4 linked regions of the Alligator mississippiensis genome follow. The protein of the gene in region 4 purifies or fractionates together with the protein of the main gene of each other region. This does not show direct contact. Links are inferred from orthologs where the notes say so. Each region holds a gene or a part of one and is shown on either strand. Other genes may lie near its edges. The genes, in order: TUT1, RPLP0, PURB and LARP7.

Region 1 (7,120 bases), on a different chromosome or scaffold from region 4:
TGACTTCCCCCTGGGGTCTGGGCCTTCTTTCTCTCTTCCCCCATAGCCCTTTTGTGGGGGAAAGAGGATTCCCGAGAGCCAGCTGTGGCTCTTCTTGGAGGAGGGGAGCCCTGGTCTTCACCCCCTTGGTTGCATCTGGGCTATGTTTGGGGGGCAGGGGTCTCCAGGAGCCAGCCCTGATCTCCCCCACCCCCTTGGTCGGCAGGAGCCACACTCACGGGGCCACTTGTCACGGCCAGAGGCGCAGAGCCTGTCACCCTACACGACCAGCGCGAGCCGAGCCAAGCTGCTGGCCAAGAACAGACAGACCTTCCTGCTGCAGACTACGAAGCTGACCCGCCTGGCACGCCGCGTCTGCCGCGACATCCTGCAGCCCCGGCGTGCCGCCCGCCGCCCCTATGCTCCCATCAATGCTAATGCTATCAAGGCTGAGTGTGCGTAGGAGCCGGGCAAGGTCAGGGGTGGGGGGGGCTCAAGGAGTGTAGGGCAGGTGAGGGAGACTGCCATGCCCATGAATGCCAGTGCTATCAAGGCTGAGTGTGTGCGCCAGGGGAAGTATGTGATAGCCCAGGATAGGGCAGGGGGGTGCATGTGCCTGGGAGTGGGGATGGGGCGGTATGTGTGTGTGGGAGGTGAGAGAGTGCCTGGGGCAGGGGTAGGGACATGTGCTTGGGGGGGCAGGGTGTAAGCAAGCCTGGGTAGTGGTGTGACTGTCCACTGTACCCCCCCTGCCTGATACCTGGTCCCTGCCCCTCCCCTCTGCAGGCTCCATTCGCCTCCCCAAGGCAGCCAAGACACCCCTGAAGATCCACCCGCTGGCACGGCTGCCCCTGGCCACTATTGTCAAGGAGCTGGGTAAGGCTGGTGTGTGTGGGGCAAGGTGGGAGGCCTCTGTGTGCTAGGGTCCCTGAGCATCTATGGGGGATGTTCTCTGCCATCGGTATCCATAGCAGGGACTCCAACCCCCTTGCACAGAGACAGATAGGCCCAGCGCCATCCCTCAGCCCCCGCCCTGCCTGTCTTGGGGATGGGGAGGGGTCCAGAGCAGCTGGTGGACTGGAGTGGGACTGAATAGGCCCTGAATGGGAACTGAATAGGCTCCTGCCCAGGTAGGTCAGGGTGTGTTTGCTGCCTCCCGGCAGGTGTCAACAAGGAGCACAGGGCCATGGTCCTGTCCCGTTGTTGCGCCGCGGTCCCCCCCCTTCCATCCCAGGCAATGAGAAGGAAGGGAGCTCTGGGACCTCATGGTAAAGCCCCGCTGTTTCCTTCCCGGCTCTGGGAAAATTCTGGCATGATTTGGCAGACAGAAGAACAGCAGCTCAGAGGAAACTCTTCCCCCCCTCCCTCCACCCCCGTTCTGTTCAGCAGCTAGGGGTAGATCTGTTCTGCATGGATTTGTTTGTGCCCCTGGCTCCGTTCTCTGCCTCCATCAGCTTCTGTGGCTACGAATTCCATGTGGGAATGGGGTGCTAAGTAAAGAAGCCCTTCTCTTGTGAGTTTTAACCCTGCTCACGTCAGTGGGTGCCCTGAGATCTTATACCTGGGACTTGGTGACCAACAGCTCAGTTCCCTTGGTCCACACCTGTCATGACATGATAGACCTGTTCTGCCACCCCTCAACCTTCTCCACACTGAGTTGTCCTGGCCTTTTGAGTCCCTCCTGCTCTGGTCATAGCTCCAGGCCTCTCATCATGGTAGTTGCCCTTCTCTGGACCGTGGCAATGCTCTGTGCAGGAGCGGGGGTTGTGGAATAATGTGCCCTAAGCACAGGTGAGGGCAGCTTGGAGATGCACGCTCGGGCTGAGGAGGGACCTGGCTGATGCCCACTGCTCCTAAAACATGGGCAGAAATGACAGAAGCGTTGCATGCAGTGATGGGCTCTACATGAGCTGTCACCACACAGGAAAGAGACCTGGGAGCCACCATGGGCAGCTGGTTATAAACATCAGCTCAGGGCTCTGGAACGCTGCCCGGTGCTGATCCCTGCACCTCCAAAAGGATAGAGAAGTCCAGAGAAGGGCAGCAAGGCTGACTAGTGATCTGGAAGGGCTTCTCTAGGAGGAGAGGCTAACAAGGCCAGACCTGGTCAGTGTAGAAGAGAGATGCTTGGGTGGAAAAAATGAAGAGTTTATAAATCACTGATTGGGGAAGATGAAGTCATGAGGAATCACAGGGAAACTAGCAGGCTGCCAATTTAGGACCAATACCGGGAAGTTTTTTCTCACTTGTGGGGCTTGTTGCCCCAGGTGTGGGGGAAGCTGGGAGTTCAGCCTGATTCCTCAAGGGACCAGGCATGTCCTTGGAGGAAAGGGGCATGAGTCACTATGGAGCACGGGCATGAAGGGCACGGTCTCTGAATCGGAACATCCTGGACCTTTCATGCTGGACGCTGCGCGTAGGAGAGGAACAGGAAAACCCTGCTCGGACCTAGTCACTCTGTTCCCTGCCACTGGGGGACACGGGAGACTGGGCCAGACAGAGCTAAGGTCTGACCCCGTCTGGCAGAGCATATGCTCTTCTGTATCTCCGGAGCCAGCAGGCACCTCTCGGCCACCTCCTGCTCTGAGACGGGGCCCGGACATGGCCCCGGACTTCTGGCTTCCCCACAGCCAATGCCACCAACTTGGCTTGGGAGTCAGGGGTAGGGCTGGGAACGGGGCACTGGTTGGACCTGGCCTGGCACCTCTTTACTGTCATGTCACTGGGAGGCCTCCACAGGGGTTCTTACAGCCCCCTTTTTTCTTCCTCTACCCAGCGGCCCAGGCCCCGCTGAAGCCCAAGACGCCGCGTGGCACCAAGACACCCATCAACCGGAACCAGATGAGCCAGAGCCGGGGCCTGGCTGGCATCGTGGGCAAGAGGGCCTACGAGGGGGCCAGTGACGCGCACCGCGTGGCCCGGGTACGCAAGGTGGGGGGGCTTTGTCAGGCATCGGGGGGCGCGGGGGGCTGTAGAGGGGTGGGGGCTTGAGGGGGAAATCATAGTGGGGGAAGTGGGGGGAATCGTAGTGGGGGAAGGGCTACCTGGCAATGGAGCAGGGACTGGGAGGGGGTTGCCAGCAGCAGGGTGGGAGGTTCTGGGGTGGGATGGGGAGGGAGTAGTGGGGGCTTTCCTGGTACAGCTGGGGTAGGGGGCTGGGGCAGGATTGGGGGCCAGGGCTGGACTGGGGAGCCAGGGCACAGCTGAGCTTCCCTTCTTCCTACCCCCCCCACGTGGGCGGCGCAGGTGGTGGGGGGTGGCGTCCCCTTCTCAGCCAACGGGCGGCCCCTGAGCTCAGGGCTCCGGGCCAGCGCGCAGCCGGCCGCCAAGCGCCAGAAGCTCAACCCAGCTGATGCCCCCAACCCTGTCGTCTTTGTTGCCACCAAGGACACCAGGTACTGGGGGGTGGGGGTCTGGGAGAGGGGGCTCCAGAGCAGGCTGGAGCCTGGGCCTGCTGTGGGGGGCAGGTGGGAGGACACCAGGGCTGCCCCCAGGGTCTGGGGGTACCCACCTCCCCCCCACTTGTGACCATACTCCCCCCCACCTTCCCCTCCCCCCCTACAGGGCACTGCGCAAAGCCCTGACCCACCTGGAGATGCGGCGAGCTGCCCGCCGGCCCAACCTGCCCCTCAAGATCAAGGCCACACGCCCCACAGTTGCCCCCCTGGCGCCCGTGCCCCCTGCCCGGCCCGCCAGCACCACGGAGCCCATCGTCCTGGAGGACTGAGCCGGGAGGGGGGGGGCCTTTCCTTTTTATATTTTTTTATTTCCATGTATGCTCCCACAACGTGGCTGGGGGGGCCGGGGCCCAGCCTTGGAGGGCGGAGGGGGGGGTCCGGGCCTCTGGGGCTGCCCCCTTCAATGCAGCTACTTCCTGTCTGTGTGACCTACCCCCCCCTTCCCCCCAGGGCCAGAGGGGAGGGCGCCTGCCCGCCCTTCTCTCTCCTCCCCGGGGTGTTTTTGTACCTCGCCCTGTAACCAGTTCTTATAGTGACCAACCGGGAAATAAAACGACACCTTTTCTTCACCCTTTGCCACTGCTGTGGTTTGGGGGGGGTGTTACAATCTCCTTTATGGGGGGAGAGCCAGGCACAGACATACAGCTGCAATCAAGGCCCATGGAGGGGTTTATTGCACAGAGAATGCAGTCAGACCACAACTCTGGGGTCTCTCCATACCCCCTCCTCCCAGTGCCAAGGGCCTGGAGGTGCCTCGTTCCCTGGGGCAGCTCTAGCCTTGCTCCCCTGCCCTGGGTGGAGCTTGTTGGGGTAGCTCCCCACCCCCACACTACTGCACTGGCGCAAGGGCTATGACCCCCATGTCTGGGGGCTCCTGTCCCTCAGCTCCTGGTGGCAGAAGAAGCTGTCGATGAGCTGCTGGCGCTGGCACAGCCCCTCGGGGCAGGGGGGGCAGTGGAAAGGGTTTGAGGGGGATGTGCCTTGGGGGGCCTGCCCTGGAAGCGAGGGTAGGGACAGCCCCTGAGCCACAGCCACGTTGTGCAGGATGCAGCAGGCGAGGAAGATGCTGAAGACCTTTGGGGGCATGTACTGCAGCCCCCCCCGGCCCACCCTAGCGTGCTAGGCACTGGAACTGCCCCTTCAGCCCTCCCCACAGCAGCCCGGGCGGCCACGTGATAGTGCTGCTCCGCTGCTGAACACTGGGCCTCCGCTGGCACCAGCAGCCAGGGCTGCAGTAGGTAGGGTAGCAAATCATACTGTCACCTGCGGAGAGCACGTGCGATGGGGTTAGGGTTCGTAGAGCGTAAGACTGGAAGGGACCTCAGAAGATCGTTGGGTCCGGCCCCCTGCACCAAGCAGGGAAGATAACGGGGGTCAGGTGCCCCAGCAGGGTGACTCCAGTCTTCTCTTGAAGAGGTCCAGGGTGGGGGGTTGCAGTGGGGGCCCCGCCTGTGAAGCAGGCAGTAGGCGTGGTCCCAGTTGGCTCAGGGGGGTGGGGACAGGGCAGGGGCCCAATCCAGGCAGGCCCCGGGGTAAGACAGGGCAGGGGCCCTGCTCCTGGAACAGCCCCATCTGGCTGGAGGGAAAAACAAGGCAGGGACCTGGGAATGCACCTGCTCAGGAGGGGATCCCGAGCTGGCTCAGGCAGGGTATCGCAGGGCAGGGCCCCCGGCATGCCCCCAACCCTCCCCAAGCTGTCTCCCAGCAAAGCCCCCATAACAGGAGCTTCTACCCTGCCACCGGCGCTAGGCCTCGGCGCGGGGAGGGTCTCCCGGCCTCGCCTAGGAGTCCTTTCCCATCCACTGGTGGGAGGGACGGCGGCCTGGCCCTGCTCTGGCACGCAGAGCCCACGGCCCCCTACAAGGGGTGCGGGGCACAGCAGGGTGCCTGAGGTGCCTGGGGCTCGCCCGGCAGCCACCCGCCCCGTCGTGGTGCCCCTCGAAGGGGGGGAGGCCATGGGTGTCCGGCGGCTTCAGGGCCACGTGGGTGCAGCCCAGGGCTCCCCGCACGCCGCGTCGGGAAGCAGACAAAGGCGACGGGCGAGGGCGGCCGTGTCCTGGGACACGCTGGCCTGGCTGGTGCCCGCATCTGCCCCGGCCCCTGCCCGGTAGGTGCCCACGGTGTGGAAGGCGAGGGCGGCCGCCACCTTGACGCCTGCGGGCAGCGCGTGGCCCAGGTCGGCCGCCACGGCTCAGGGGCCAGGGGGACAGCAGGTACAGTGCAATGGAGGCCGGAAGTGGGGGTGCGGTGTTCTCTCTGTCCTTCCCTCCCTCCCTCCCTCCTCTGTGCTCCGGGCGGGCTCCTCGGGGCCGGGATGGGAAGGAGCGGGGGGCACGTTGGCGGGACGGACCATTTCCTGTGGCCCGGGAACGAAGAGTCCTAGGCAGGGCGGGTGGAGTTGAGGGAGCCCTATCGGGGACGGACCACTTCCGGCAGGGAAGGCGCGGGAAACACGACTGTCGGGGGACGCCTATCGCGGACGGGCTACTTCCGGCGGGGAGCGGCTTCCGGGGGAATCTCAGGGACGGACACTTCCGGCCGCGCGGAACCCGCGCCGGAATGGAGCCGGATGTGGAGGCGCTGCCCCGCGGGGGCTTCCGCTGCCGCCTCTGCCACGTGACCGCCGCCAACCGTGAGCGGGGGGCGGGGTTAGTGGGGGGAGGTCAGGGGTCACCACGTGGGGGGTCAGAGGTCACCACGTGGGTCAGGGCGGGGCTGAAACGCTGGCCTGACCTCTGACCTGTAGGGTCAGACTGAGCCCCCCAACCTTTGGCTGCTGACCTCACCCCCTTGCGTCAGAGCACCTTACCTTAGACCCAGGCAGTGACCCCTGACCTCGCTCCCCCTCCCCTGACCCTTGCCCTGTGCCCCTCCCCTGACCCTTGCCCTGCCCCCGGCAGGGCCCAGCCTGGACGACCACCTGCGGGGCCGCAAGCACGGGCGGCTGGCGGGGCTGCGGGCCCAGCGCCAGGCCCAGGCGCAGCGCAGCGTCTTCGTCAGCGGCTTCCGCAAGGGCACGGACGTGGCCGAGCTCAGCGACTACTTCCAGGCCTTTGGCGGCGTGGCCAGCGTGGTCATGGACAAGGACAAGGTCAGTCCCGGCGCTGGGGGGGGGAGCGGGCAGCCCTCCTCCTGCCCCGCCGGCCCTGATGGCTTCCCTGCGCTGTTCCCCGCAGGGCGTCTACGCCATCGTGGAGCTGGAGGACCAGGCGGCACTGGAAAAGGTCCTGGCCCAGCCTCAGCACAGCGTGGGGGGGCAGCGGCTGCGGGTGAAGCCTCGGGAGCAGAAGGAGTTTGCCTACGCACCCCCCAAGCGGCAGGGGGGCGCCCGCCGCGAGCTGCTGAGTCCCGAGAAGCTGGAGCAGGAGCTGTGCCAGGCCGAGGACGTGAGTGTGTGCTGGGAAAAGGGGACGCGGGGGTCCGTGGTCTCTGCCCCCGGCTGACGTCCTCTTTCTCCAACGTAAGGCTGTAACCTCTGCCGTGGACTTCGGGCGCTAGGTCTGCCTGGCCTGGGCTCCCGGGTCCCCCAGATGGAGGGAGAGCGGCCGGGTGTGAGCAGGGCGTCCCTCTCCCACAGGGAGCCTTCAGCACCGAGGCTCCAGGAGGGTCTGATTCAGAGTAGGAATGTGAACCATTAAGTGATTAATCACTTAACCGATCGGCGCATGATAAATGGTTTTAGC
Region 2 (7,954 bases), on a different chromosome or scaffold from region 4:
ACCCTGCACACAATAGTATGCACAAATAATTCAGAGAACTTGAGCTCACGGGAAAGCTGTTTTTAATAAAGAATAAATCTCCACCCCCTCTTATGGAGGCTTGAGTTAACTCCCAGTTTGCCCTAAGAGGAACTGGTTTAATCACTTCTCCAGATCTCTGAGTAGAGGATATGAAGAAAATGAAGTGGCCTTTATAGTCTGCAACCTGAGCTAAGTTATTAAAATTCCCAAGTCGGAATCACAGTGTACCAGCAGCTTCTGGGTGGCAGACAATAGCCCAGACACAGTAATGCCTACGATTAAAATGCTCCCAAGTTAGTTAATCCTTGGCTGTTGACACTGCGTGCATTATATGCAGGAAATCCAAAGGTTTTCTGTAAGTGTTTAAAGTCCATGAGTTAGAACTTACGACTACATGGAAGGCAGAGTGCAGTTTTCTGAGTACCAGTACTTGACCCTGTTCATACGCTATTTTCTCATTAAATGTGTTGCTTAATATACTGCTGTTTTGGTTTAGCATAGCCTCAGACCACAAACCACCCAGCTTGTTCCTGTTGGCATGTGTGTCTGGACTCTGGGTTGTGGAATAAGGTTTCTTCTTTTTTTTTTAATGTATAAAAAAAAAAAAGCTAGCTTCTCTATTTATTTATTTGCACTAGCCATTTCCTCCTGGCCTAGGATTCTAGGTAGAGAGATTACTTCACTGTTGTATTTAATATAGAGGGTTGCAAACTCCATTATACAAGCAGTCTGAGTAGGAGCAACCTTTTTGGTCAGAGAGAAATTTGCATTGTTTAGTCTTCTGTTTTCCATTTGTTTCTTGGCTTCCCTGATGCCACTGCCCATGGGAGAAGCACTACAGTTGTCATGAGGTGAATGTTGTGACATGAATACCTGCTGCCTATGGATACTTGATTAAGACTCACCAGTTCTTCTCACAGGCACTAAACAAAAGATTACTATAGATTTTCAGTGACCTACTGTAAATCACAAATAGTTTTCAGTAACACTTTCTGCTTTCTGACTTTGTTCCCACTTCCAAGTACAGAGCTCCCTTCATCCTATCAAGGGTGAGCTATGCAGCTTCTTGCTCTGGGTCCGGTAGAGGTACTGACTCCAGAAGTAACTTGAGTCCTGAGTACTGACCCTTGGTGGAACCACCCAAGCTGAAGAACTGGGCCTTCCTTGTCTACCTTTCATTATGTTGCTGCCTGAGTGAGAGCTGTGAAGAAAAGGGATGTTGACATCAGCTGGGCCTTCCAGGAAGGCAGGAAGCTCCAAGCTACCCTCCAGTTTTTGCTGAAAGCAAAACTATACAGCATTCTGTACTGAGAATGGCATGAGATGAACTTTTCACTAGTATCCAACCATCTTCTCTGAGCCCATTTGCAGGAAGCATCTGAGTGAATCTTTTCAAGGCATACGTGATATGGTGGGTATTGTAGTATAAATCCAGGGATGTTCTTTTTCTCATAGACTGCCTGGTAGGTGGGTTATGGCTTCCTTTACATAGTGCAGAGCCTTGAACACAGAGATGGAAGGGGCATGGCTAGCTGGGCTGCAATACTACGTATAAGGAGGTTGAGAGTTGGAGTGAATTAAAAACTATGAATCAAGAGCGTAATATTGTCACAAAAACTGCCAACAGCATACTAAGCAATCTTAACTGGAGTATCATTCTTCCACTCTGTTCAGCATTGGTGAGGCCTCACTTGTCAAGTACTGTGTCCAGTTTTGGGCATCACATTTTAAGAAAGAGATGGACAAATTGGACAGAGTTCAGAGGAGAACAACAGAAAAGATTAGAGGTCTAGAAAACGTAGCATAAGGAAAGCTTGGAAGAATTGGGATTATTTAGTTCGGAGAAGATTGAGGAGGGATTTCAAATATGAAAAGAACTGTTGAGCACAAATCTGCTTAAATTGCAACAGAGGCGATAAAGGAAGAACTTTCTAACTGACACTGCTTGAGCCCTGGATGGAGCAAGTGGCCCAGGGAGAACCTCTGTCATTGGTGCAGGTTAAACAGATGTTTTTTTGTGGGATGGTTCAGATGGGAATGAATGACCTTTCCTCGAGTAGGGAGTGGTGAAGGATGTCCTTTTGAAGCCACTAGAAGCACAACTTTTGTATGATTCTATGGAGGTCAGTGAACATGGGTCCCAGAGAACACCCTCAGATTTGTAGTGAGTGTGTGGTGAACGTCCTTTCACCCACATCCTGTCCGGGTGATGGCTCTCACCTGCCACACCGAGGATTGCAAGCCCAGTGCCCCCTTTCCTTGTGATAAGTGGGGAGGAGGGGAGGGAGCCTGGAGCTTTGGGGAAAGCCTGGTCTCATCACTCCCTCTAGAGCCCATTGACAGAACTGCTAAATTGGATGGAAGCATTAGAAGGGTGTGAAGCATCTCCTCTTCCCCTTGGAGCTACTAACCCCTCACTGGGCTGGGTTTCATGTGGCATAATCCTCACTTTGATTCTCACACAGGGTTCAGAAAGAGGCACATGTTTGGCAAAGGGGAGACTTGTGTAACTATCATATAAATCCTATAAAAAGCATTTTTGGAGTCACAGGGTCTGATTTCTGAGACTGGGCTTCAGGCTTGAAACATATTTTAGCTGCTGGAACCACAGCCCTTCAGCTAACCCTTCATCTTGTGGGAGTGGTGAGATGAATATGCATGGCTCACTGTGTGCCTTCTGCAGGGACCATTAGGAAGTGATGAGCCATCTCCTGTGCAGACATGTAAGAACTTTGACTTTGTTGTAAGATTTATGATTTGTTCCAATTGTTTTGGCCAAGATATATGCCCTTCCCTCTTTCTCCCTACAAGGAACTCACTGCTTACAGTGATGCCATGTCTTTATTACACTGAAGTACTATGGAATCATCTGGGCTGAAAGAAGCCTTTGGCCTTGTCTACATGGAAAATAGTGCATTGTAAATGAGTTTTTAAAATCAGTACATTCCCCTGCCCTTACGCTTCTTGGGGTTAAGAGCAGCATATTTGGGTTTGGATTAAATCCCTTCCTTATTGATCTGAAGCTAAACCTGAGCAGCCAGTCAGCCTTTGGCACAGGGTTAAAGATGCTATCTCTAGTTAAACTTACACAACTCTCTGGTGCAAATGAGCCCTTTCAGAATGGGAAACGGCAAGGACTCCCTGTAAAATCGGCTCTATTGCCTGGTGCTTATGACCAAATGAAATCTCGGTCCAGCTTTGGGAGGCTGATTGGAACCACCAGGAACACCCCCTCGAAGAGAAACAGCAAATAAACACTCTGCATTCCTGGCTGAGCTGCTCTCTTGTTGAAGCATATAATGGGTTTATTTTCTGCAACAAACCAGAGAGAGTACTGTACCACGAGCAGTTCCTCTACTGAACCAACATCCATCTGATCAAATACTTAGATCTGCCTCAGTTGCTGGGTTTAATAGAGTAACAACAACAGAGCACTGAGGAAGGATCACCATCCTCCTGCTATGCAGGATGTCTTTGCCTCCCTACATCTACATCCTACAAATCATAAATGTCTTCTCTGCCTTAACATGTGTGTTGCAGCAGGGGCGTTTTATCCTGTGGGTAGGTTCTAGTGCAGTGGTTCCCAAACTCTGACAGATTGCACACCAGTTTAAAATGATACAAACTTAAATACCGCCAGTAAATTTTTCAGTTCAGCTTTAAGTACCACCAGCAGATTTTTGTCATATAAAGGAATTATAATGAATGTTAACTCATACCACTGACAGGTTGCCTGCATACCACTGGTGGTACCTGTACCACAGATTGGGACCCTCTGTTCTAGTGCATTCCTCAAATATTTGGTTTCAGTGTAGGAGGCTGGACAGTGGAGAGCCAGAAGCACCTGGAAAGTTACTGTCCTGCTGCAAGCCTTGGATCCTTGGGTGTGTGAGCTCAGTTCCTGGCTTTGCCCCTGACTTGTGGTTTAGCCTTGAACAAGTTTATTCGTTACGTGGTCACAACCATGGGCCTAATTCTGGTCTCACACTAGGCTTATGCCAACATTAACTCTATTCACTGCATGGCATAGAGCATCTCCTAAATTATGCTAGTGTGAAGAGAGATTGGGATCAGACTCCATTGGAAAATCAAAGCACTACATACATTTCTGGTATGGTGATGTACACACAGGAATAAACATTGGGATTCTCCCTGGCAGGCACGCTGTGTGCAATAACTGGGATCTACGTTGTTTGTCAGAACGTAAGTCATTTTGCAGCTATGCTGAGCCTCATCATTGGAAGAACAGTCTTGGTCTTAAAATGGTCTGATCACAAACAATTCTGGTCATGTTCCTAGAGGAAAAACAGCACCAGCCACTCAGGTTCCTGCTGGGTGGTGGTCGTCCAGCCATCGCAGCTGGGTCTCTCACCGCTCTGCCCATTTCCATGCACATCGCCTTATTTCTCTCGAAAGAATCATTTCTTCCTCTCAGACCACAGGCGGTTCCTGGCAACAGGAGCTGGCGTGTGCGCAAGTGCTGAGCCCTCCAGCCAAACCCCGTGGATCTGCCCTTGGTGGACTCAGGCAGGGGCCTGTGCTGCTCCCACCTGCTGGTCCCCGTTCAAGGGGAGCCTACGGGCATGGTGCCCTCGTCCCACTGGGGCGCCTTGTGTGTTCCCTGCTGCATCAGGGCTGCTACAGGGTGACTCCCCGGTGGGCCTCGGCCCCGGGGTCGGGTGTGACACGGACCTCGAGGCAGTGACAGTGCTCTGGCGCCTCGGAGAGTCCCCTCCAGCAGGGGGCGCCCTAGCTGTAGGCAGCGGCCCGTCCGCTGTTGCGGCTCCTTTAAAAGCCTGTGCTTTCCTCACGAGCGACAAGCCTTCTGCCCAATAGCAGGGGCGAGCCCGACTCGTCCCCGTTATCGACACCCGTCGTGGCCAATGGGCGGCAAGGCGCCCCGTCCTTCGCTGGCCGTCGCCGATTGGCTGAGACTCGGCATACAAAAGGAGGAGGAGGGACCACCGCCCGCTCTTTCTTTCCGTAGCTCGCGTGGAGGTGGGAGCGTGGAGCGGCCGGGGCCGGGCGGTGGCGGCCACACCCGCGGGCTCTGGGCATGGGCGGCGGAAGGCTGGGGCCGCCCCCACATGCCGGCTGTGTAGGGTCTGGCCTGGTGGGGTGGGCCTGGGAGCCCCGGGGGCTCCGGCCGAGGCTGGCTCCGCTCCGGGCCCCAGGGGCGGGGAGGCCTCCGATCCCCCGCACGGCTCTTGCCCCTCCCCCAGTCCTTTCCCTCGCAGACTTTACTGCGGCAGGGAGGGGGTGCGCGCATGCGCCCGCGGTCACCCCGCCCCCCCATTATTTTCTTTCTCCGCCGATGCCGGCGGCGTGGGCTGTGTTGGGCGCGGGCCCGGCGGTGCTCGTGTGCCCGGAGCGAGCACTGAGTGTGCGCTGCTGCTTCCTCCCGCAGGCCTCGCCTCGTCTTTAAACCGTCCGCGGCAATCCTTGGCACCGGCACGATGCCCAGGGAAGACCGAGCCACGTGGAAGTCCAACTATTTCCTGAAAATCATCGTAAGTGCCCGGCAGCTACTGGTTGTGCGCGGGGCTGGGCGCTGAGGCCCTGCTGCGTGTGGCCGGGCAGCAGCGCTGCAGGCGCTGCTCCAGCCGACGTGGATCTGACCCCCGTCTCATAAAGCTGCTCCGTGCCAGCTGGGTACACACGGCAGTCGGTCTCCTGGGGGACTTGGCTGATGCTGCTGTGCGGAGCAGCTACTGAGGTCAAGCTACACGGCTGTAAGAGGCTGTGTGGGGTCCCTGGAAAGAAAGCGCTTGTGTTGAGGGGGAAAGTCCAGCTTGCGTGCAAGAAAAATGCTGCACAGGAGCCCTGTCCACGCCACCTGCTTTCCAGCTGAGTGCAGTTTGGTTGTGCGATGCGGCGTGCTCTGAAATATGTGACTGTAATGGCAACTGCAGCTCCTCGCTAGAGCCACACGTCTAGCAAGGGTAGCGTCATCCAGGTGTCGGTCCCTCATGGAGTTAAAACGGGTTTCACCAACATACAGCCGCAAGCACAAACTTCACGTGTGCTTTATCTGGGCCATGCCATTGTTCAGCAGCTTGGTCTGGATTTCTTTGCCTAATTTGCTTCTGTTCTCTCTGTAGCAACTACTGGATGATTATCCAAAATGCTTCATTGTGGGAGCAGACAACGTTGGATCCAAACAGATGCAGCAGATCCGCATGTCCCTGCGTGGGAAGGCTGTTGTGCTGATGGGGAAGAACACCATGATGCGCAAAGCTATCCGGGGTCACCTGGAGAACAATCCTGCTCTGGAAAAGTGAGTAAAACTGTCCTGTTCCACACCTGGCTTCTGTTTCCCAGGCAGGGAGGAGTTTGTTGGAAAGAGTGAAACCAAACAGTGTTTTTTTGTATCTCCTTCAGGTTGCTGCCTCACATCCGTGGAAACGTGGGCTTTGTGTTCACCAAGGAGGATCTGACTGAGATCCGAGACATGCTGTTGGCTAACAAGGTAAAGGTGGAGGGTGTTGTAGCAACCCCCTTTGTAGCACCCCTAGTCCTGGAGGTCTAGGGTCTGACCTGAGCTCAGTATGGGATGTTCATGATGAATCTTAGTTTAGAAAGCCGGAAGGGGCGCAGACTCGTTGCCTTTTGGGGTCTGCTTCTGGTGTTGTTGCTAGATAACTGACTCTAGTTTTATGTATTTTTGTCTCCGTTTGTCTTGTATATAATTGGGCAATGTCGGTCTCTCAGGAGCTGTGTGAGGAGTTAATACCCTGCATTTCTTTCTGAGATAAGCATTATTTTGCTTTTTGTCCCTGTTACCTGGTTCTAGGTGCCAGCGGCAGCTCGTGCCGGTGCCATTGCCCCCTGTGATGTCACTGTGCCAGCTCAGAACACTGGTCTGGGTCCTGAGAAGACCTCCTTCTTCCAGGCTCTGGGCATCACCACAAAGATCTCCAGGGGTACCATTGAAATCCTGGTGAGTGCAAAGCAGTGTTTAGTAGCTGCTAGCAAACAGGGTCTAGCTTTCCTGTGGTGAGGTGTGAGGGTCTTGCACAGCACAGATGTGCTTCCTGTGTGAAATGCTCTGGTGTACACACCTGGTTTGCCAGGCTGGTACTAGATGTTGTTTTAAAAACGCGCCGTTTGCTGCACAGGCTGCTGCTGTATTTATAGATCACAGCCGAGCACTGAGCTTGTTTTCTTTCAGCATTCTTGGTGCAAGTCTTTCAGTCCCACTTGTAGCCTTCAGTACTGTGTACTTGAACTACTACCTCTGTGTCTGGTTTTCCCTGCAGCTGGTTGCTTACTTTTCCTTGTTCCTCAGAGCGACGTGCAGCTGATCAAGACTGGAGACAAAGTGGGTGCCAGTGAAGCCACCTTGCTGAACATGTTGAACATCTCCCCATTCTCCTTTGGGCTGGTTATCCAGCAGGTGTTTGACAATGGCAGCATTTACAATCCAGAAGTGCTGGACATCACTGAGGAAACTCTGCACAACCGCTTCCTGGAAGTAAGAGCTGCTTGCCTGTGCTGCATGCCATGCTTGGTCTAGACCACAGAGAGCACAGGAGTAGCCACTAGGATATCTCGTCTAAAGCTGGACTGGGCAGGCTTATCTTTTCCTATTGGAACAAGTATCATCCAAAAGTGAACACCTCCCAGTCCTGAATAACCAGGGCAGTCTCATTGAGACCCTATTCTTGCTTCTCCTTGGAGTCTGCAACAGAATCACCTAGAAAAGATGATAGGAGTTGAGATGAGTTTCTTCCCAGAGGGATGCTGTGTTCTGACCCTATTTGCTCTCCTTGTGCTACATGTAAAATTCAGAGGAAACGGAGAACACACACTTGGAAATGGGTTTGGGGTTCTGACTACTTTTTTTGAATGCTTAGAAACACAAGTTCTTCTTTTCCCCTTCCTCAGGGTGTTCGTAACGTTGCAAGCGTTTGTCTGCAAATTGGCTACCCAA
Region 3 (7,355 bases), on a different chromosome or scaffold from region 4:
CCAAAATAATAAGGGGAAGATGGACACCAGGGTCTGCATGAAATTAAAAAGGCAGCTCAAATCAAGAGGACGGGCATGCAGCTAAGAAAAAAAACAAAAACAAACAACTGATATAGCCTACGGTGTCTCACAAGGAATACCCGAAACTTTGGAATGAACAGTGTCGCTTGCCATTCAGTTCCAAGTGACTAGGATACGAACACGCGGCGAAAATACCTTGGCTTTTCTATCTTTCTCTTGGCAGAGGGGGGGGAGGCGAGTGACTGGACTGAGCTAAAGAAAAAAAAAAAAGTGAAAAATCCAGTTAAAAGCTAAGGAGGAGGGATTCTTGCCCAGCTCCCTCCCAACCCCTCACCCCTCTTGCAGCTCAGCTCCAGGATCGGACTTGCTGGCTTCAGCTGAGATCTCAAGGTGGTTGGGAAATCCAATGCCGCCAGGGCGTTTCAAGAGTCACATAGTGGAGCTGGGGGCTTCGGCCGCCGTGAGCAAAGTCCCGCCGGCTGCCCCTCAGGCGTGTGGTTGTTGCTGATACAATGTGCTGTGAGGTACTGAGAGATCTGGGGGGACTGGGCTGGAACCTTTGCCTTTGCTCTCCACTCTCCAACCCCAGCTGGAAGGCCACATCCTTGCTGATTTCCCTACAACCCCTCCCCCCCCAGGAGCCAGTTGGCTCCGATTTCTTCCAGCCATTTCTCTTCAGAGACAACCTTATTTGGAGAGAAAAGAGGGGGGTGCAACTTCCCCCCAGCCCCCTCTCTCTTCCCCTAGCTGCCTTGTGCTTCGTGCCCGATTTTTTGTCTTCAATTTACCCTCTCTTTGCAGCCCTGTGTTGAAGGTGTTGGGATAGATATTCAAGGGAAGAAAAGGATCCAAATAAAGAAAGAAGGGTCCTTTAGCTCTGGAGAGAACTGGCAGGTTTCTCTGAGAATAGGCTGCTTGAGAGGGGTGCTGGAGAATAGGGGTCCAGTATGGAAACCAGCCATTCAGCAAAGGAAACCAAGATCAGCCAGGACATTGGTCCAAAAAGAGAGAAATCAACCCACCCCCGGTTTCCCCCTATACTAGGTTCATCCCTCGCTAGATGCCCCTCAACCTCTCCTCTGTGCCCCTGTCTTCTGCCCCCTCTGGTTGATTTCTAAGTGGAGGGTGATGCCCCCCATCACCACCCGTCTTTCTTTGGGTAGCGGCAGCAGCCTGGATGCTGGTTTCATTGGTGGAGCAGGCAGCATCTCCAACGGATGCAGGGTGGTGGTGGGGGGATCCATACGACACCCCCACTTCTCAGGGCCCTGAAGATATGGGAGGTTCCCAGCTTGCCTCAAGATGATGGGGGTCATGGCAGGTCTTCCAGGCTGGTAGAGCTCTGATGGGGAGTGGGGAAGAGTCCTCCGGTCCAGCAGGATTCCCCCAGTCCAGCGGAGCTCTGATGAGGGCACTAGCAGGCCTCCCAGTCTGGCAGGGCTCCGATGCGGGAGAGCTGGCAGGTCCTGCAGTCCAGTGAAGTTTCCAGGGAGACTTGCAGAACTCTGGAGGGAAGGTGAGGTGGTCTCTCAGCCTAGCAGATTTCCAAGGGGATCCCCCACTCTGGCATGGCTCCAGGGGAATCCCCCAATCTGGTAAGGGTCTTGGGGCACTGGCAAGCTCTCTGAGAGGAGAGGGATCCCACACTCCGGCAGGGCTCCAGAGGGATCCCCCAGTCTGGCAGAGCTTGCCCACTCCAGCAGGGCTCTGGGGGAGTCCTGAAGTGCAGGGAAGCTCTCGGGGGCGGCTGGCAGGACACCCCTCCAATGGGGAGGATCCCACACTCCAGCAGGGCTCTGGCAGGATCCCTCAGGCCAGCGAGACACTTGGGGGCGCTGACAGAGCTCTGATGGGGGGATCCCCCAGTCCAGCAGGGCTCCGGTGGGATCCCCCAGTCCAGTGAGGCTTGTGGGGGCATAGGTGCTGGCAGGGCTTGGGGTGGGGGGGGTCCATCCTCTCTCGGGGGCACCTAGCGGGGCTCAATCGTCATCCACATCATCCGCCTCCGAGTCGTCACCAGCACCACTCCCGCTGCCGGGCCCTGGAGGCCCCGCTCCTCCGCCAACTCCCCCAGTGCCCGGCCGGCGGTCATACAGCTTGTCGCGCTGGCGCTCCTGGATGTCGCGCATCTCATCAGCATAGCGGCAGAAGGCACCACCGAACTTGGCCCAAGCCTTGTAGGGCACGGTGATGGCGTTGCGGTAGGCTGGCTTGACCTCGCTGACACGCAGGAAAACACCATACTTGTTGCAGCCCACGTCAAAGAAGAAGCGCTTGGAGTCCACGGTGATGGACGTGCCCTCAGGCAGCTCTCCACTGCCTGCCCCCGCGCCGCCACCCAGCGCCAGCCCTGGCTCATCGTCCTCGGCCCCGTAGTCGTCCAGCAGCTTGGCCAAGGCATCGCGGAACTCGATGAGGCCCTGCGCGGGCAGCGCGATGGTCTGGCCACTCTGCAGGCCAGAGGCGCCCGCAAAGGCCCCGGGGCCGCGGTTGAGGGTCTGGCGGATGCGCAGGAAGCGGCCACGCTGGTTCTCCTTCAGGTCCAGGTAGTACTTGCGGTTCTCCCGCACCAGGAACTCGCTCTTGAGCGCGCGGCGCGGCGGCTCGTCGGGCGGCGAGGCCGAGCTGGCGCCGGCTGGAGGCAGAGGGTCGGCGGGGCTGGGCCCCAACTGCGCGTAGTGCTCGATGAAGTCGCCCAGCGCGTCACGTAGTTCAGCCGCCACGGCCATGGACAGCGTGAGGCGGCTCTTGGCCCCGCCGGCGCCCACCTCGGCGATCTTGAGGAAGCGGCCCTTGGCGTTCTGCTTCACGTCCAAGTAGAACCGCTTGTTCTGGATATCCAGCCGCTTGGACGCCAGCTCCTGAGTCTCCTGCTCCGCCCGCCCCGGGCCCGGCCCCGCGCCGCCGCCACCGCCGCCGCCTCCCCCGGCTCCACCGCCGCGCTCGCTGCCGCTGTCCCCGTCCGCCATCTTCCCGCCCCGGCCCCGCTGCCTCCCGCTTCCGGCCCCGCCCCGTGACGTCACCCGCCCTGCCCCGCCCAAGAGCGAGGCTAGCTCCGCCCACGGGCTAGCTGCCCCCAAGGGGTGGCCGCCGGGCGTGCCCCGCCCCCCTGCCCGTGATGTCACCAGGCGGGAGACTGATGCACCTCCTAGGGGCGGAGACAAAGCAGGCCACAACCCCTGGGGTGGAAGCGAGGCTGGCCCCGCCCACGAGAGAGGGAGGTGCGCCCTAGGGCTGGCACCGTTTGGCCACGCCCCCGGTGATGTCACCAGGCTGGACCCGCTCAAGGCAGAGGGCCGCGGCTGTGAGCCTGGTCCCGCCTCTAGACACGCCCACAACAGTCGCAGGAGCCCCCCCCGGTAGCCACGCCTCCATGGCTGTCAGTCAGCTGGACCCCGCCCAAGGCTCTCACTGCGCTGTCACTCAGGCCCAAGCCCCGCCCATCGGCTCCTTGCCCCTCCCCTTCCCCAGCAGACCCCGCCCCCGGGACAGCCAGGGCAGCCCCCCCTGCCGCGCCCGCCAGTACCAGGAGGCTTCGGGAGCAGCTGGTCTGTGGGTACATGGGGTGGGGGCACCGTGTGGGGGATTGTGGGTAATGCCGGAGATTGGCGGGACAGGTGCCAGGGGCAGCAGGCAGGTCTGGGAATCCCCGGCATCCAGCATGGGGTGGGGGGAATCCATGGCCACCTGTTTGCCCTACAGCACTCCAGAGGCCTGGCATCCAATTGTTGAAATGGGGAGCAAACCCACAGGTCTTGGTCTAGCTCAGCATCATGGCCCCTGCTGCTCACAGGGCCCCATATCCCCCAGGGCAGCATTACCACCAGTACAAGGGTACCCAGATGAATCTTAGGGTGCCAATCACTCTGAAGCATTATAGGCCCAATGCTGCTTCCAATGAAGTTTGCAGGAAAATTCCTGTTCTCCCTCCCCCCATGCAGCCTGTTTATTCCTTTTACTCATTAACCCCCTTCAGCCCCAGCCAGAACTGATGTGGGGGGCAGGTAGCTTCCCTCCACAGCCCCAAAAAGCTCCTCTGGGCTGGGAAAGCTTGGGTGTGGCCCAGCCCAGCTCCCTGCCTCAGTCTCCCCTGGCACCTTCCCTCTCGTATCACCCACAAGGGCCAGGCTGGTGGCCTACCCATGGAATGCTACCGAGCCAGGCTGTTCTACTTGGGCATCTGCTCCTCCCCAGAGGTAGCTGCATTTTCCCCGGATTTGGCCCCCAGTGGCAGCAGAGGGTGCAGGAGAGTATGGAACTCAAGTACCTGGGCAGTGGGCATGATTCTTGGGGGCTTGGGCCTGGACAGGCAGGGCTGGCATGCAAGTGGTTAATGCAGGGCTGGCATGCAAGTGGTTAATGCAGGGCTGGCACCCCCCTCCCTTCCCACCAGTCTTTGCTGCCCTCTGGAGGTTAATACAAGCAGTGCCACTCGTGCTATCCCCAAAGTTTGAAGGCAGGTTGAGCTCTCCCTACCATGCATCTGGAGGGCATCTCCTCCCCCCTACATAACAAGAACTCACCCCCCAGGCAACATGCACAGGCCTTGGGTAGAAGCCAAGCTCTCCCTCCCCATCATACCTGGGACCTTGTTCCCCTTCCCAGAGCAGTAACCCGTGCCACGCTGGGCTGGGACTGCTGGCTCATCCGAGGCTGCTACTACTCCCAGCACCCCCACACCACATGGGGCCAGTCCTTTGCACCGCTCCCCCAACATAACACAAATCCAGGGTCCCTGCCCCAGGCTGAGGCTCTCCTGAGGTGCAACGAGCGTAGAGGCACGACTCTAGAGAAGGCAGATACACCTTCATCCTTTGGCCCCAGGCAATGAAGAATACAGTGCAAAATAGGAGACAGTCACAACTTTATTGTTCTCCCAGAATCAAACATAGGGGCAAATAGAGTAGAGCAGGTCAGGGCAGGGCAAGGAGCTCAATGGGGCACCTCATGAGGCACCAGCTTGTAGTAGGCCCCACAGGATGGGCAGCGCTGTGGCTCACCTTTGTGCAGCCAGAACCAGATGATGGCACTGTTGTCCTCTTCACCTGCCAGGAGAGAGTGAGATCAGGGTCACAGCCAGAACATTTCCCCTCCCACCCTCAGCTGCTAGGGGTGAGACAGAGCAGGACAAAGGGCTACTTCTGCCCCCTAACCCCCAGCTCCAGCAGAGCCCTTGTTTTCACCTCCACCCCAGGCTCTTCCCCTAGCACGTCCCCACTACACCTGCCCGGACACTCACAGATGCAGCCGACAATCCGCTTTTCATTGACAGATGGCACCAGGGTGGGGTGCTCCCGGGTCCCCCCCTGGCTCTTGGGTGGGAACATGCTGTACGGGTCCTGAAGAGAGGAAGGCGAGGGCATCAGCACCTACCAGGGCCCCCAGAGCCCCCCATGCCTGGTCCCAGTCCCCGCCCCCCGTGCTCACCGTTCCCTTCTTGACAGCCTCCAGCACCTTCCGCTCCAGCCCGGTTGCCTGCTCCTCGTCGGTGGGGACGCCTACAGGGCGTGCAGGGAACCACCGCGTCAGTCAGCCAGGCCCGCCCCCCGCCCTTGCCCCGGACGCCTGTGTCCTCCACGCTCCCCGGCCCCCCTCACCTCCGGCGGCGGTGCGGGCGGGCGCAGCAAGGCGCAGGACGAGCGCGGGCGAGTGGCGGGCGCCCAGGGCGCGGAGGGCGCCGTATGCGCGCAGAAACCGGGCTGCCATAACGTCCAACAGAGACTACACCAGGCCGCTTGACGACTGCGGCTACTTCCGGGGACAGCGCCGGAAGCGGGGCGGTACTTCCGCTGAAGCGCCCGGCGGGAATTGGCCGCTCCGCGCCACGTGGCCAGAGAGGCTGGGGGTAGACGGGGGCGGGGTCTCCGTGAGCCCGGCGAGGGGGTGACCTTGGGTTTCTGCCGGCGACTGCCACCTGCTGGCCGGGGGTGGGTTTCCAGAGGACCGCCCTGCGTGCTCTGATTGGGTGCGTTTGACGGGGCAGGTGCGGCCTCTGATTGGTCCGGCTGGCGGGGTTGCTGATTGGGCGTCGCGCGGAGGGGAGCGTTGGGCAGGCGGCGGTTGGGATTCGGAAGGCGCGGAGCACGTGGCAGCGGGAGCGGTGGGGCTTTGGCTCCGCCCACAAGGGCAGAGGTCGGGGGGCGACGACCCCCAGCTGGGGATGGCGCCCAGGCGCCCGGCTCCAAGCACTCCCCTGCTCTGACCACTAAACCCTACTGCCTTGCCACGTGTGACGTCACGGGGGCATCGTGTGACGTCAGGGGGACAGTGGTGTGGTCACAGCGAGTGCTTGCTTCCCCACGCAGGCCCCAGCTCCCAGGAAAAAACCATCCTGGAGGCTTCACCCCCTGCATCAAGTGCCAAGACACTGTTTCTCCCCGCTCCAGGCCCCAGTTCTTCCCCCTGGCACCATGGCCCAGCAGGCGGTGGTGGCCCCAGTGCCCACCCCAGAGCTGCCCATCCTGGGGGGCCTGCGCTGGTACCAGATCCCACTGTCCTCGCTGCGGGCGCCCAGCACGGGCCTCTTCAGCCGCCGCTTTCAGGACAGCCTGCAGCGCTACCGCCAGCTGCGCCTCACCAAGCGCCTGCGTGTCGGCCGCCCCTACGCTCTGCTCGGGGACCCCGACCCGGCCTCCCCGCCCGCCCAGGTGAGCCCTTTGCCCCTGGGGCAAGTAGGGACAGTCCTGGGGTAGATCAGCTCCCTTCTTGTGCCCACCTGACCCTGCTGGGCCCACAGGATAGCAGGAGCCAGCGACCTAGAGGCAGTAGAGCCCGGAGCAGCCTGGGCCTTGCCCCATGCCGAGCAGGTAACACCAGACCCCTCCAGGTCCACCGTCGGGCATCAGCCCTCTCTGCCCCCATTACTCCTACCCCCTGGCACAGCACCAGGCTCTGCTGAGGAGAGCAGGAGCCATCCAGTGACTGTCCTCCTGCCCTCTGAAGCCTCCAGGCACTGGCGCGGCTCCAGGGCCCCCCACCGGAAGTCCAAGAGGATGCCGCATCTGCCACAGGGCACCAACACCAGCCCTGATGAGGCCTTCCCAGCTGACTGGAGCCCTGTGCAGCTGGACTTCCTTTGCCAGGCTGGTATGGTGTCCCCCAGCCAGGATACGGCTGGATCTGGGGAGAAGCAGGACGATGAGGAAGAGCTGTTGCCCCTGGCGCAGCTGCTGGGGGGAGCAGCACGGATCCTCCCGGAGCCTGGCATGGTGAGTGTCAGGTCAAGGGCATCACTAAGGGGTTGATGCGTATTGCTGGGCACATTCCTGCCCCCAGGAAGTGTCCAGCAGTGCCTTGAGGGGTGGGGGTGGGGGGGCACAGTGCCCCCAGAATGA
Region 4 (7,013 bases):
CTTCCTGCCTTATCTGCCACTTCCTGTCTCCTGCCCAATCTCCTGCATGCCACACAAAGAGGCTGTCTGTGCCAGTTTTGCAGGTTGGCCACTCCTGCACTATACAGTACAATGATACTTGCTATCCACAAAAAGCACATTTATTAGACGTTATCCGCTGTAGTGAAAATCTGCTACTATAATGCTTTATACTTTGTTAGATCAAAAATATGCTACATCTGACCATTTATAATCCTGTATTTGTAACAACTTCTAAAATCAGAATATATTAGACAAAATAGTAGGACAGGGAACTTTAGACTGTGCAAAGATGAATAGTGGTCCCAACAAAGACTAAAGTTTTTAGTGTTAAAAATATACCTGAGTTTTGACAAATATGCTCTCCAAACATTGTCCTTTGTCATCAAATAAGGTCGCCTGCATTGAAACATAGTGAAATGTTAAACAATCAAATTACTGCATTTCAAAGAGCAGAGTGGATTTGGTAGACTCAGAGAATATATCATACTGTATTAAACTTGAACTCTTCACCTTACTTCCTCCAGTGCTGGTCTTCAAAACCCCATCTTGCCATACTTTTGATTTCTTGGTCTTCTGATGAGTGTATAAGACCTTTTGAATAAAATTGTGATAATTACTGAAATGATAATTTATAGTGGTTGTTGCACAAACACAAGAAATATTTAACTGAATTTTATATATTGTTAATAAAAAACACTTACAGTAAACTCTTGACAAGTCATTGCTTTGGATGGCTTTGCTTCATCAAAGGTCTACATTGCAACTTTTCACTCTCTCATGCTACCTAGGAGACAAATATCTTTTTTAGAAGACATCAGCAAATAATCTAATTTACAGAGGTGCAAAGCACCATTCATTTTAACTCAGTTGATACCTCTGAAAATGTAGCCATTAATTTTTACAAAGCACTTTGAAAATTAGAAGCTTTATCGTATTAACATAATCTTCATGCACACTGGCAATAAGAACTTAGGTTACCTCAAAAGGTATGATTTTCAGAAAATGTAGAATGCCCACTGTCTGAAAAATCCTTTTTTGTTTGCTTGTTTTGTTTTTACACATAACAAGTTGGCCCATTAAAATTTAAGCTGCTGACCCCCCCCCCCCCCCCAGTTAGCCAGTCAACAAAGAACAACATTTTATAAAAATATAATGATCTGTGTCTATGTTCAAAGGGTTGGACTTTCATTGAAACTATTGTCAGTTTTATTAGCTACTGGCACTATGATGAAAATCGACCACAGGGAAATAGCTAGTACTGGCACATGCTCCCAAACTACTTGCAATCTCTGGCTGCCTCTACAGACATCAATATGAATGAATGAAAAAGTATTTAAAAGTAATCATACATAAGAAAAGGAATATGGAAAGCCAAGAAATATTGGACAGCTGTAGAAATTATAGGAAACTACATGATAGCCAGCCTAATAAAAATATAGTTGGATCGATAATACAGATACTATATTTTAACTTTGAAGCACCATACCAGTAGTTACCAAACTGTGGTTCATGGGTGAAACCAATTAGTACACTCCAGCAGGCTCAATTAAATCAAGCCTGCTCCAAAATGCTATAATTACAGCACATTGAAGCAGCATCCCTGCGCATCTACAGACACCCTAGGACTCTGCAATGCTGTGGCTAAAATCTGTCATTCTGTTCCTGGGATCCACACTGATTCAACATTGTAAAAATAAATGTCATTGTTGTAGAACAGTTTCTAGTCAAATACAACTGATTTATGGTATTAGAGATGAGAGAGATTCATGGCAATGAGTCTCAAACTGTGCAATTGGTTTCATTACTTTATTAAGCAAAAAAAAAAAAAAAAAAAAAAAAAAAAAAAAAAAAAAAAATCTTCAAATGCTCAAATTCTACAACTTACCACCAGAGGGCTTTCCTGTTTCCCATATTTTTCGCTATCAGTCTTGGTTCAGCTGTATAGAAAAATCATGTTTCCAGTTGTGTAAATGCTAGTTCCCACAGAAAAGGCAGATTCTACAGTTTATCATCATTTTTGTGCTAGTGCTAGAAGAGGATTCTGGACTTCCAGCATTAAATAAAGCCATTTACATAAACATGTTACTCAAGAGAAGAGTAGTTTTCAGATTTTTTTTTTTACCTCTTCTTTAATAACAAAATGGAACTAGAACAATACTGGGAATTATAGAAGCAGTCATGCAAACTCAATGGAAACAAGTTTAAGGCAGGCTGAATAATAGGGGCACCAATACAGACTCTGTTTTCCCCTGGTTCATTGACTATTAAAAGAACATAACTGCAGCTGCTAAAATTGTAAATGACATCAAATTGGCTGTTCTTGTTCTATCATTAAATATTAAAACAACATCACCTAATTTTCACAAACAACCTTGAAATATTTTCAACAACAAAGGAAGAAAGAAATTAAAGGGGAAGCCAAAGAAAAAGAATCAACTTTCATCTTTTTTTTTTTTTGGACTGGGACTAACTGAAAGGATCAGTACCACTTCAAAGTTCTTCTAATGCTAACAGGTTACGAAAGATCAAAATAAGTCTGTTTCCCCATCACTCCTTTTATTACAAGGATTGTTTAACAGTCCCTCTCTTTCACATCATTTAAAGCAGAGGCAGGCAATTATTTGGGCTGAAAGGCCACATGTGAAGTTTTGTGAGCTGTTGAGGCCTGGGAGGAGAGGGGAGGAAAGGGGAGAGGGAGCCAGGGAGATGCCAATTGATCCTATCCACACTGCTAGCTACTGCTGGAAGCCTGAGGGAGCGTTGTGCCCCACACCACTCCACTCTGCCACAGCCAGGACCTGGCTGGGCCAGACAGTGTGCAGATTCCTCCAACACTCCCCTGCCCCACCATCCTGTTGGTACTGTGCAATCCTGGCACTGCAACAACTGTCAGCCTGGTCCACATGGGACAAGGCATGATGCAGCACGCTGAGTAGTTGTACCACCCACCCACCCACCCACCATGATGAGCTGCTGCAGCCGTGCCACATTGTAAAATGTTGGGGGTGACAGCCCTGAGTCAAGCGGGGGTCGTACCCAACTTTGGGGGCTTGGCTTTTTTTATTATTATTAATACATTTCATGTTCCAGGTCAAATCAACCAGATCAGTTCCACATCATACTACTGAGCAGAACTCAATCATTCCAAAATCCATATCGACCGAGCAAGCAGGACGCAGTCCCAGGCTTTCACCCTGGGACTTCAGACACTCCCAAATCCACTGGCAGGCATCCTACCTGCAGGCCCAAGAGATGCCCCTGCTTCACTTTAGCCCACAAGAGGCCAACTTCTGGGTTTGCTGTCAGTGTTTTCTTTTGCCTGCTTGCCTTGAAATAAAGAAATGCTTCGACTCTGACCCAGGTCTCACTCACACACTGGCGATTAGTGAGCAACATAAATTTAAAAAGATGGGTTATTGGCATATTTATTTGCAGATTTCTCAGGGTACGATCGCTTTTCAACAAACAAACACGATCGTTCTGAGCTTCCCATGCGGGTACTTTCATATTTAAGGTGTGGCAACGCTGCGTTCAGGTAACCAGGCGGGGACGGGACGCGGGCCCGAGGCCGGCTCGGCTCGGCTCGGCTCGGCTCGGCTCGGCTCCAGCCCCAGCCCCAGCCCCAGCCCCAGCCCGCCCCAACCTACCCCACCTCCCGCCCCCAGGCAGTAACATGGAGACAAGCGAAGGGAAGGTGCGTACCCACCTCACGGAGGGACCAAGTGACCGCCGGACCCTTTCAACTTTGAAGCTTTCCCGCGCCAGCTGCCGATGACGTTGTTCCTCTGCGCCGGCACAGAAGGCCCCCGGCTGCCCAAGCTTCGCCTGACGGGAAAGGGGAACAGGACCAAGCCGCTTCCTTGTCGGCCCCTGGCAACCGGCGTGCGCGTAATACGTCACGAGAGCGCCCCTCGCTGATTGGCCTGGCCCCGGAGCTTTCGCTCTGAGACTCGAGCGTCGCGTTGATTGTGACGTGACGGCGGGGCGGAACGGCGGAGCGCTGGAGGAGGCGCGGAGGGTTGTGGCCGCGGGGCGCCCGCGTGACGCTGCCAGAAGCCCCGAGCGGCCGGCGTTGGCAGGTCAGTGCCGCTGGGGGGGAGGGGCGGGCGAGAGCTACCGCGGCGCTTGGAAGGGGAATGCTGTGACGTCAGGGCCTTGTCATGGGGGAGGGGGCGGGGCCTGTAGCAGCTTGCGCGCGAACTCCGCGTGTCGCAGAGCCGCGTCCTGGCTGTTGTGGGGGGTCCTGCTCCGGTGGGGTCGTGTGCAAAGGCTGTGTCCGCGCATGTGTTAGCGGTTCCCTCCAGCATGTGCGCTGCCCCCAGGCCCCGCTTTGCCCTGGCCGTCGTGCTGTGGGCTGAAGGGGGCTTGGTGTTCCTGCCCACACTCATGCAGCTCCCTCTTACTTGTTAGTGGGAAGAAGTCAGGCCCTCCTCAGCTGACACTGACCCCATTGGCCCAGCATCTGACGGGCAAGACGTGTATACACACGTGTGCATGCACCTATCTATAGATATCTACCTTCAATACTACCAAGCGGCCCCTGTGGTTCACTTGGCAGGTCAAATCACACTAAAAACGTGTTACACAGTTCACACCATGCATCCATTTCCATACCTGAACCCCCACCCACTGCCCTCCTCAGAGGGCCTGCCCCTGAAAAAGTCTATGCCAGGCCCCTCTCCACCAGATAATCTGTCGTTTCTTTCCCATCCTCTTCTGTCTTCCTGTAGTACCACTTCTCCCCTCCGGCCCCATGGTTCCCGTTCAGGACGGTCTGTTCCTGAGTTTATCGCCCCGCAGGGCCCTACCCAAAATTGTGAACCTTCTCCCATTAGCCAACCCGTGGGCTAGTCCAAGAAAGTCTGCACTATATCTGCCTACATTTGTGAAGCTCCTCCCATCATGGAATCAGAAAATTAGGGTTGGAGGGGATCTCAGGAGGTCATGTAGTCCAATGCCCTAGATCAGGTGCTACCCAGGAAACTACCTAGTTGCATCAGTGTGCTCTTGGAAATAAGCGTGTTCTCACATTGAGGTGACAGGTTCATAGCTGACATTTGATATTTGCTCCCATTTTCTCTTCCTACTCCCTTGAACATCACCCTTTCTGAGGTGCTATTTCAAGGCTGAAGCGGAATGGGAATCGGAGAGGACAGCAGTACATGGGCTGAAATGTCAAGCTGCCATTGAAGGTCCATGATCACTAAGTGATATGCTGTCCCTAGGCTTTTAAAAATAAATCATTATATATCACTAAACTCATTAATGTTCAAATGGATGGCCCTCATTACAGTCCTGAACAAAAAAATATGGATTAATACACAACAGACCTTTCACAGGGCATGAAATGCTGAGTGATTAACACCTTGTACTGCAGAGACTATTTGTTTTGTTTTCTTTATTTGTTCTTTCTTATGCATCTGAGGTTACTGTTCTTTATGAAACAAAATCTAGAAGTCCTTTGCCCCTGTCAAAAATGATTTTCTATTTGCTTTTTTAAACTGTCAGGGAGGCCTATGCTTTCTCTTTAGGGAGATCTCTTTGGGAGACAAACTGAAGAAACAGGAGGCTGAAACTTAAGATCAGGTCTTACAGACATCAGCATAACTTAAACTTGCTAACTGTGCTATGCTACAATTTCAAGTACTTGAACACAACCTCTCAAAGTTACATTTACTTTTGCTTTTGGTATGAAGTGCTATGTACGTGTGCATATGTGAACAAAATTAAATTTTATTTTGTAAGCAGTAGTTACATTTTAACACTGAAGCTGTTGCTCATCTCATCTGTTTATGTTTGTTAAAATGGAGCTTTTGTTACAATTTTCCTTAATACCATTCGGAACATTTTTGCAGTCATGAATTAAACATAAATCCAAAGCACTAAAGCTCTCTTAAATCATCTTCAAAAATACAAATGTACGTGTTTATAAAAATATGCTGTCAAAATTTGCTTTACCTGTGGCAGGTTAGGTACAGGCTGATGTTGTGTCAGGGTTGAGGCTAGTCTTATGTAAAGTTTAGATTTATGGTTGTATGGAATGTTTTGGATAGGGATGATCCTGCCTCAGGCAGGGAGTTGGACTAGATCAGTGGTTCTCAAACCTTTTTTGTACCAGGACCCATTTGTAAACATTGATGGCCAGTCCTAGCCCAGTGTCCCTCACTCCTGACCCACTGCCCCCAAGCCCCCAGTGTATGGGGCAAGAGCTGGGGAATGGAGGATAGGGGGCCCCAAGCAGTCCCTTGCAGGCTGGAACTCTGACAGCCTGCAAGGGAGAAGCCACGGTTTTCCAAGTTTTTCTCCTTTAAAGGAGAATCCATTTTTTAAAGTTTTTTTTCGTGACCCTTTCATATATTCTTGTGACCCATAGGTTGAGAAATGCTGGACTAGAGGACCCTTCCAGCCCCGCTTCTCTATGATTCTATGACCAAAAGAATGTTCAGCATTGCAAAAAAAAAAGATAGGGTCAATGAGCTAGGGGGGAAAATCAGAATAAACTTATTCTGCCTCAACTTAAATATTACTTTAGAAGATAAAGAAATTTAAAAATAGCAAGTTCATTTATAAACCCTAGCAGTAATGTGTGAGCTAGTGTGGATGTCAGAGGCAAATAAGGCCATAAATCAATACAAGCAAGACAGTTATGTTTATAAGTTTAAGATACAGATTTTTAAAGACCAAACTTTTAAAGATTAAACTACAAATTCAAATGTTATTTCCTTCTTAAGGGGTTTTTGCTTGTAGCTGTGTTGGTCTAAAAAGAGTGACTGCACCCAAAAGCTTGCTAAGAACTTTTTTCCAACTACTCAGTTGGTCTAATAAAAGATATCACATCTACTCAAAGAACCTTGCCTGCCTATTTCCTTCTTAAGACATGTGAAAGTTGTATATTCACCAAGGTAATGGACAGCCATCCAAGTAAATGGTTTAGATCCCTTACAGTGAATTTTGTCAGGGAGTTCAGGAACGTACTTCCTGTAATAGATGTT

The links.
Region 1: the proteins of LARP7 (region 4) and TUT1 purify together in Homo sapiens (affinity purification with mass spectrometry; 4 studies listed by BioGRID and IntAct, with this or other methods). This does not show direct contact. The link is inferred for Alligator mississippiensis from reciprocal best matches to the Homo sapiens genes LARP7 and TUT1.
Region 2: the proteins of LARP7 (region 4) and RPLP0 purify together in Homo sapiens (affinity purification with mass spectrometry; 3 studies listed by BioGRID and IntAct, with this or other methods). This does not show direct contact. The link is inferred for Alligator mississippiensis from reciprocal best matches to the Homo sapiens genes LARP7 and RPLP0.
Region 3: the proteins of LARP7 (region 4) and PURB purify together in Homo sapiens (affinity purification with mass spectrometry; 3 studies listed by BioGRID and IntAct, with this or other methods). This does not show direct contact. The link is inferred for Alligator mississippiensis from reciprocal best matches to the Homo sapiens genes LARP7 and PURB.

Annotation. Positions count from the first base shown.
Region 1 is NC_081838.1:3,241,962-3,249,081, forward strand, and holds the start of TUT1 (speckle targeted PIP5K1A-regulated poly(A) polymerase), read left to right. Parts: upstream 1-4,105; 5' UTR 4,106-5,660; coding exon 5,661-6,069; intron 6,070-6,337; coding exon 6,338-6,528; intron 6,529-6,613; coding exon 6,614-6,823; intron 6,824-7,120. Other genes in the region: metastasis-associated protein MTA2, read left to right, coding at 206-434, 766-855, 2,756-2,910, 3,226-3,374, 3,544-3,706. UniProt on the Homo sapiens protein: Poly(A) polymerase that creates the 3'-poly(A) tail of specific pre-mRNAs. Localizes to nuclear speckles together with PIP5K1A and mediates polyadenylation of a select set of mRNAs, such as HMOX1.
Region 2 is NC_081833.1:21,250,265-21,258,218, forward strand, and holds the start of RPLP0 (large ribosomal subunit protein uL10), read left to right. Parts: upstream 1-4,944; 5' UTR 4,945-5,019; intron 5,020-5,428; 5' UTR 5,429-5,477; coding exon 5,478-5,531; intron 5,532-6,122; coding exon 6,123-6,298; intron 6,299-6,402; coding exon 6,403-6,490; intron 6,491-6,814; coding exon 6,815-6,961; intron 6,962-7,309; coding exon 7,310-7,495; intron 7,496-7,908; coding exon 7,909-7,954.
Region 3 is NC_081830.1:10,716,152-10,723,506, forward strand, and holds the start of PURB (transcriptional activator protein Pur-beta), read right to left. Parts: upstream 2,991-7,355; coding exon 2,001-2,990; 3' UTR 1-2,000. Other genes in the region: cytochrome c oxidase subunit 5B, mitochondrial, read right to left, coding at 4,954-5,066, 5,261-5,360, 5,449-5,519, 5,619-5,727; protein FAM178B, read left to right, coding at 6,432-6,668, 6,758-6,827, 6,964-7,229. UniProt on the Homo sapiens protein: Transcriptional regulator which can act as an activator or a repressor.
Region 4 is NC_081825.1:125,983,104-125,990,116, reverse strand, and holds the start of LARP7 (la-related protein 7), read left to right. Parts: upstream 1-4,006; 5' UTR 4,007-4,100; intron 4,101-7,013. Other genes in the region: protein ZGRF1, read right to left, coding at 361-417, 532-612, 723-743. UniProt on the Homo sapiens protein: RNA-binding protein that specifically binds distinct small nuclear RNA (snRNAs) and regulates their processing and function.